Danio rerio: one gene and its partner. The protein of the gene in region 2 purifies or fractionates together with the protein of the main gene of each other region. This does not show direct contact. Links are inferred from orthologs where the notes say so. Each region holds a gene or a part of one and is shown on either strand. Other genes may lie near its edges. The genes, in order: col1a1b and p4ha2.

Evidence for each region.
Region 1: the proteins of p4ha2 (region 2) and col1a1b purify together in Homo sapiens (co-immunoprecipitation; 3 studies listed by BioGRID and IntAct, counting the BioPlex papers as one, with this or other methods). This does not show direct contact. The link is inferred for Danio rerio from reciprocal best matches to the Homo sapiens genes P4HA2 and COL1A1.

Annotation. Positions count from the first base shown.
Region 1 is NC_133187.1:3,504,710-3,508,545, forward strand, and holds part of col1a1b (collagen, type I, alpha 1b), read right to left. Parts: intron 3,386-3,836; coding exon 3,332-3,385; intron 3,237-3,331; coding exon 3,183-3,236; intron 2,008-3,182; coding exon 1,954-2,007; intron 1,178-1,953; coding exon 1,133-1,177; intron 534-1,132; coding exon 435-533; intron 1-434. UniProt on the Homo sapiens protein: Type I collagen is a member of group I collagen (fibrillar forming collagen).
Region 2 is NC_133196.1:46,841,965-46,845,693, forward strand, and holds the end of p4ha2 (prolyl 4-hydroxylase subunit alpha-2 precursor), read right to left. Parts: intron 3,097-3,729; coding exon 3,028-3,096; intron 1,930-3,027; coding exon 1,833-1,929; intron 986-1,832; coding exon 915-985; 3' UTR 663-914; downstream 1-662. UniProt on the Homo sapiens protein: Catalyzes the post-translational formation of 4-hydroxyproline in -Xaa-Pro-Gly- sequences in collagens and other proteins.

The DNA of each region.
Region 1 (3,836 bases), on a different chromosome or scaffold from region 2:
TTTATTAATTTTGTAAATGCTTTTATCCAGATAAACTTACAAGCTCTCACCCAAAAAGGACAATCTTTACTTGTGTTAAACCTTTATGAGTTCTGTTTTTTTGTTGATCACAAAAGAAGATATTTAGAAAAATGTTGGAAACCGGTGACTATTGACTTCTATAGTATTTGTTTTTCCAACTATCGATGGCAATGTTTACAGGTTACCAACATTGTCAAACTATCTTCTTTTGTTTTTAGACGAACAAAACCACTTGAAGGAGAGTAAATATTGAGTACATTTTCAATTTTGGGTGAACTATCCCTTTAAATTCCTAGAGAGTTCCGATATTTAAATTCTATGTCAAGTTATTATTTTTATTTATTTAATTTTTTAGTACTGATGACGGGAATACAAATATATATCTCATTATGTTATTGAAACAGGAGTCTTACCTTTGCACCATCATTACCAGGGGATCCAGGGGCTCCACGAGGGCCGGTTGGGCCACCAGGTCCAGGGGACCCACGCTCACCAGGGAAACCTCGGTCACCCTACGGGAGACATTTACAACATTACTCTACTGTATTTCATTACAAGTAAACAGAAACTACTGTAGTTGTTTATATTTAAAGGTGCTGTGAAGTGCTTTGAAATGTGCAGTACTGTGTGATGTCTGACAAAGACAGGGAGGGGCATAGAGTAGCTCCTCCCCTTTAAAAAAATAGCCAATAGCGTTTGATTTGCATGGAATGTATAACACTACATTTTTAAAATGTGAAATAATCAAGCAATATATATATTTTTAAACAGCTTTTACATCATTTCATACTATAAAATATTGCTTTTCTATTTATTTCTTTTTCTTTCTTTTGCATCTATATTTTGTTTTAAAGTATGTTGTTAATTGAAAAACAACATACAGATACAAAAAGAATTTCCTATATATGTATATATGTATATATATATATATATATATATATATATATATATATATATATATATATATATATATATATATATATATATATATATATATATATATATATATATATATCAGTAATAGTGCGAATACATTTAATAAGTGCAAAAGCGGAAAACAGAGGTGTGTATTACAGATTGAGATGAAGGATATTTATGTGAATATACTCACTCTGGGACCAGAAGGGCCAGAAGGACCAGCTTCACCAGGAAGACCCTGTTAAACAATCAACATAATCAATAACACAGATTAAATGCTGATTGGCTTTTTTAATATGAAATGATTGTTTACAATACGCTTGATTATGGTGACTTAACCTAAACTCCATACAGCAAGCATACAGTAAAACAAACAAAAAAACTCAGACAACAGCTATAATTGTTTGGATTTTGTTTGTATTGTTGTACAGGACACTATAGTTTATTTATGTAAATGAGGATAGCAAAATGAAGTAAACCGTGACATATTATACTCAAAAACTCTTCATACAAATGAGCCTGAGGGATTCCAGAAACTACAGTAATAAAAGTTGTGCAAATATTGTTATAATGCAGTTGTCTGAAGCAGTTTTGGTAATGTTTTTTTAATGCCATGTCAGCAACCAAGGCTTTTTTCATGGCAAGAACATTTTAATGTTAAATATACAATTAAAACAACAAACAAATGGTACATAAATTAAATAGGATTTTTAGCGCTAATACATTATAAAAATTCTAACATTATATCTGGTGCCACTTTGCTAAAAATGTCCTTAAGAGAGTTCAGTTCATTAAAAAGCCTTCTGAATCATTACAAGCAGGACAGTGCTGGTCAATAGTGATCCATTAGATACTGTGCCTTTCAATCAAAGCATTATCAAGATGAGTTTGTTCTGACCAAGTTTGACTAGGAGTCATATTTTATGGTTATTTCCTAAACATTCATATTGTGAGAAATGCTCTGAGAAATCATTTTTGTTTTTACTCTAGACATGTTTGAGCGATCATCCATACCTGTTCACCGGGTTTGCCAGTCTCACCGGTAGCACCCTGTGCACCTGGAAGACCCTGGAAGAGAACAAATAATGATTGTATTAAATGACTAAATCAATTTTAAGTTTAGCTGGAAATACACCAGCATTATTGCACTACTCTCCTGTCTACCTGATTTGCTGGAATGTTTTTTTACTATATTTACTATTCTCTATTCTCATACCTGTCAACAATCCCGTTTTTCCAGGGATTCTCCCGTATTTTACAGTTCTATCCCGGGGGAATCCCTTATTATGGTGGGTGTATCCCTTATTTTCACAACCGAATGTTGACAGGTATGTATTCTTCATCTATGTGATTTGACTCTACATTATAAAAAGCAGATGAATAAAACTAAATTACACCAATAGTGATGTTTCCGTCCAACCATTTTTATGCACTTTATGTAATATCACATTAAAAAAAATGAGGTAAAAATATAATTATTGCATGCAAAATAAAAATTTGCTTTTCATTTACTCTTTAGTTGATCCTTTTTATTTTTACCATTATTGTTGTCGTTAGCATTACTATTATTAATATTACTTAACAACTTCCTGCATTGCTGTATTTTGTTCATTTTATATATGCATGTCTTTTGTTATACTCAATGTTGTATGCTGATTGTCCACATCGTTTGTTTTGTTCACATAATTTCAAAATAAAATATAAAATTTGTTGAAAAATAAGATTGTTTTGACATAATATATATGTGTGTGATGTGTATATTGACTATTTCTATATAAATACACACATGCATGCAAATATTTGAGAAAATGTATTTATGTTTAGATTTAAAATATGATACAAACTGTATATAAATTTAAATATCGATGTAACAATATTGTTTTTATACAGTTTTGTTTCTATGTATACGTGTCTATCACCTACACATAATAAATATATTGCCTAATACTCAAAAAATTAAAAATTTTGTGCATAAATTTAGAAAATATGCATTAAAAACATGCACAAATTACATTTTCTTTTGGATAAATGCCACCAGTTAATCAGGAATTGATTATTTTTTTTCCCTTGACTTTTAGGATGGAAATGGTGATTTATTTGCAAATGCTTTATGCGATATTCCAGCTTTGCGCATGAATCAAAAGCTATTGATAATACTTACTTATTATTAAAAATACTAGGCATTTCTTCTAAATTACACAAGTAAAAGGGTCTGTGTTGATGATGAGCATCTAAAAATGTACCTGGAATCCAGAAGGACCAGCAGATCCCTGTTCTCCTTTCTCTCCAGCAGGTCCCTATGAGACGACAGGCCAGAACAAAGTCAGAACAGTTCACACTGAAATAATAGATTTGTAATACATCAAACTTTTAAAGGTTTTAGCAGACTTACAGCAGGTCCAGGAGCACCGGGACTACCGATATCACCATCCTTACCAGGAGCTCCCTTTGGAAATACAGAGAAACACACAATGATCATAATTCAATTCATTTGAATTCAACTCAGGTTTATTTGTATATTGCTTTTCACAATAATTATTGTTTCAAAGCAGCTTTAAAAAAAGGTGCACATTATTGCATTACAATCACATTCACAAAACTTAAGGTTATTAGTTGCATTACTTTATAAGTTACTAATAACTAATTGACTAGTAACTAATAGCTTTTAACAATTAAAGTTATTATGCATAAACATAGTTAACCTGCAGTTTTATTGCATATAGGTAATGTCTATGTGTACAAGATGAATCCGCTCAAACATTAAAAAAAAAAAAGGTTAAAGAAATGCACAAGATTAGTTAAACTGTAAATCAGGACTATAGGCAGAAATGTACTTTTCTCTTTAAGGGACAATATTTACCCCTGGTTTTTTTATTTTATTTCTTTTTTTAACCTTT
Region 2 (3,729 bases):
CATTAAGAAGAACATATAAACGTGATCTGACTAACTTCTAGCAGCTAAATGTGTCTGGAAAAATATTCAAAGGCTTTTATGCTCCCAAACCGCACGGACGTAAATGCGTCTGAGTGTTCTGATTGGCTTAAGCAGAAGTCTTACGTCAGCACGTTCTAGACGTGCACGCGCTTATTACGGCAATCTTCCATCTGCATTCACACAGCCCAGCATTCCTGCAAATTGCTGGTAATGTTACAACTTCACTTTCCGGAAAATAGCCAGAACGAATTTACCGGTATTTTCAAAAAGGGCCTGTTCACACATACAATGTGTGAAAGGGGCTATAGTTGAATTTTGTAAAAAATGGTGCAACATTCTCAACCATTGTTTAACTAATCTAATGCTCTCAATTATTGACTTTACAAAGTCAAGTCTTTATCTGAAAAAATGTAAAGATTGATATGAACCAGAATTTTGGAGAAGGGTCTTGCTGCAGAGTTGAACTTGCATCTTCAGGCTTGCGCTCTGCACGCTCAGGCACCCACGCTTTCTATTTCAACACAAGTAAACCAAGAGTAAGTTTACAGCAATGATTCTTGAACGACTTGGGAAACTATTCTTAAATAATGTAAAACATTATTTATTTCAATAATAAATGAATATGCAAGCAAAGAAACACATAATTTCCTATATTTTTATTGCAAATCATACATGAATATAAAATAAACACTAGAACAGGACAATAATTTAAGCATTACATAAACAATGACACGATTCCCCGGGTGAACCTGACTGGAGAATGCAAACACACAAAATAAAGCCTGAAATCCCTCACGGACATCACGTATGGATGAATGTGGAGAGTGTGATTATCTCTGTGTGTGTGCAGAGTCAAGGCACTGTGGGTAATATACTGCGTTCATCATCCCTGATCAGTCCACTTCTGTCAGGCCACACGGCCGTCTGAACTCCTGCCCTCGCTCGTGGATCCACTTGTTTGAAACTGAAAGACAAGAGGAACTTGTAAGGTTTGTGAACATCTGATGCGCTTAAAACAACCACATTTTATGCCTTGTTTACTTTCATATTCAATTATGTAACAGTGGCAGGGGTTGTTTTTTTATTGCCACATCAGCAACTCATAGTTAAATTAATGCAAGATTACAATTATTTGCCCTCCTGTGCATTTTCTTTTTCAAATATTTCCCAAATGATGTTTACCAGAGCAAGGAATTTTTTAACAGTATTTCCTATAATATTTTTTCTTCTAGAGAAACTCATTTGTTTAATTTCAGCCAGAAAACACACTCCCCGGCCACTTTATTAGGTACACCTTACTAGTTCGTTGTAACGAGTGCTTTTTTGAGTAACTGCTGCCTTTCTATCAGCTGGAACCAGTCTGGCCATTCTCCTCTGACCTCTGGCATCAACAAGGCATTTGCGCCCACAGAACTGCTGCACACTGGATATTTCCTCTTTTCAGACCCTTCTCTATAAACCCTAGAGATGGTTGTGCATGAAAATCCCAGTAGATCAGCAGTTTCTGAAATACTCTATAGAGCAGCCAGTCTGGCACCAACAACCATGCCACGTTCAAAGTCACTTAAATTCCTTTTCTTCTCATTCTGATGCTCAGTTTGAACTGCAGCAGATCGTCTTGACCATGTCTACGTGCCTAAATGCATTGAGTTGCTGCCATGTGATTGGCTGATTAGAAATTTGCGTTAACGAGCAGTTGGACAGGTGTACCTAATTAAGTGGCCGATAAGTGTGTGTGTGTGTGTGTGTGTGTATAAATGTCTACTGTATATAGTACACAATAATCTGTAGTTAAAATTTAGTGCACTTACCCCATTTACTGCCTACTAGCACAGGACAGGCTGCATGTCTTGTCCTGTAGTCTCCTTCTCCACTTCTGAAGAGATTGTACCAGAACACTGCTGTTCCCTGCAACATCAATACAATATATTAAAGCCTATTAAGCAAAAATCATTTTATAAGGGATTTAAACAAGGTTGTGTGTGGATATACTCAGCTTATAATGGTAAACATAAATTAACTGTGTTTTTTTATCATCACACTTGATATAAACAGTCTGCAGAAACACTTTGATTGACATTTTCCCTTTGTACGAGTCATCAGAGGGGGAAAGCCCCGCCTACTAGTGACCATCTCTCCCTCATTAGCATAATGATGTTTTTGAATCTGCCACTATGCTGACACACAGGCATTTATAGCTCCGCCCTCTTTTGAAAAGATCAATCTCATTTGAATTTAAAGTGACAGTCATCAAAATAACACAATTTGGATTGAGTTTCAAAGAGTTATAAAACATTATTTGTTTGGTATTTTAAGATAAAAATTCACATCTTGTAAAAAGAAGCATAATAGGTCCCCTATAAGCCTATTAGATTTTTTTAGGTGTAACACCTTAATACACAGGTGTCAAACTCAGTTCCAAAAGGGCCGCAGCTCTGCACAGTTTAGTTCCAACCCTAATTAAACACACCTGATCAAACTAATTGAGTCCTTAAGGCTTGTTTGAAACCTACAGGTAAGTGTGTTGGAGCAGGGTTGAAACTAAACTGTGCAGGGCTTCGGCCCTCCAGGAATTGAGTTTGACACCCCTGACTTAATATATTATAGAGGCAATTATATTACCGATGACATTATACAATTCATTCATTTTCTTGTCGGCTTAGTCCCTTTATTAATCTGGGGTCGCCACAGCGGAATGAACCGCCAACTTATCCAGCATATGTTTTACACAACGGATGCCCTTACAGCTGCAACCCATGACTGGGAAACACAATACACGCTCATTTATTCAATGACAATTTAGCTCACCCAATTCACCTATAGTGCATGTGTTTGGACTGAGGGGGAAACCGGAGCATCCGGAGAAAACCCACACTGGAAGAACATGCAAACTCCACACAAAAATGCCAATTGATACAGTGACTCGAACCAGTGTCCTTGCTGTGAGGCCACCATGACGCCCGACATTATACAATTTATTATAAAATATCAATAGAGTGTGTGTACCTTTCTGGGCCAAACAGAAGCACCAAAGTCAGGGAAAACAGTCGCTCCGCCGGCTTCAACATCACTCATCTGTAATGGAGATCCAGTATAAATATACACTTTTCATCTGAGAGATAGTATGTTATCAGTGTTACAGAAATTACAGAAGGACTTCAAGTTTAGTGCAGAAAACGATTAAAATCAGAAAAGTCTCAATTTTAAAGGTCCCATGAAATCCCAATAACGTTTTTTAGATGTTTGTATCAGTGTCGTTAGTTTTTAGGATATCTATAAGCTACTGCGCTCCAAAACAGAAACAAAATTTGCGTCTAGGGAGATATAAAACTGATATTATTTTAATCACATTACCTCATACTTCAGTTTTTCGTCACATCATAACCAATCAAATTCTCTCTAGTATCTGATATGCCCCGCCCCCTTCAAGAGGCTTCACATTTGATGCACTTGAGCTCTCTCACTGGCAGAGCTGTGGTCAAACTAAACGCTATTGGCTGTTTTTTTAAAGGTGAGAAGCTACATTACGTCCCACCCTCTCTTCATGTCTTGGTTGAGATTACATCAAACATCTAATAAAAATGCAGATTTCAAAGCACTTCACGGGACCTTTAAAGATTACAAACAGCTATTGACAGTGCGATAAATTAAAAAAGTAAAGGCCAATGGAAAAGATCAGCAAAGAAGATGCAGAGAGAGTGATAAAGC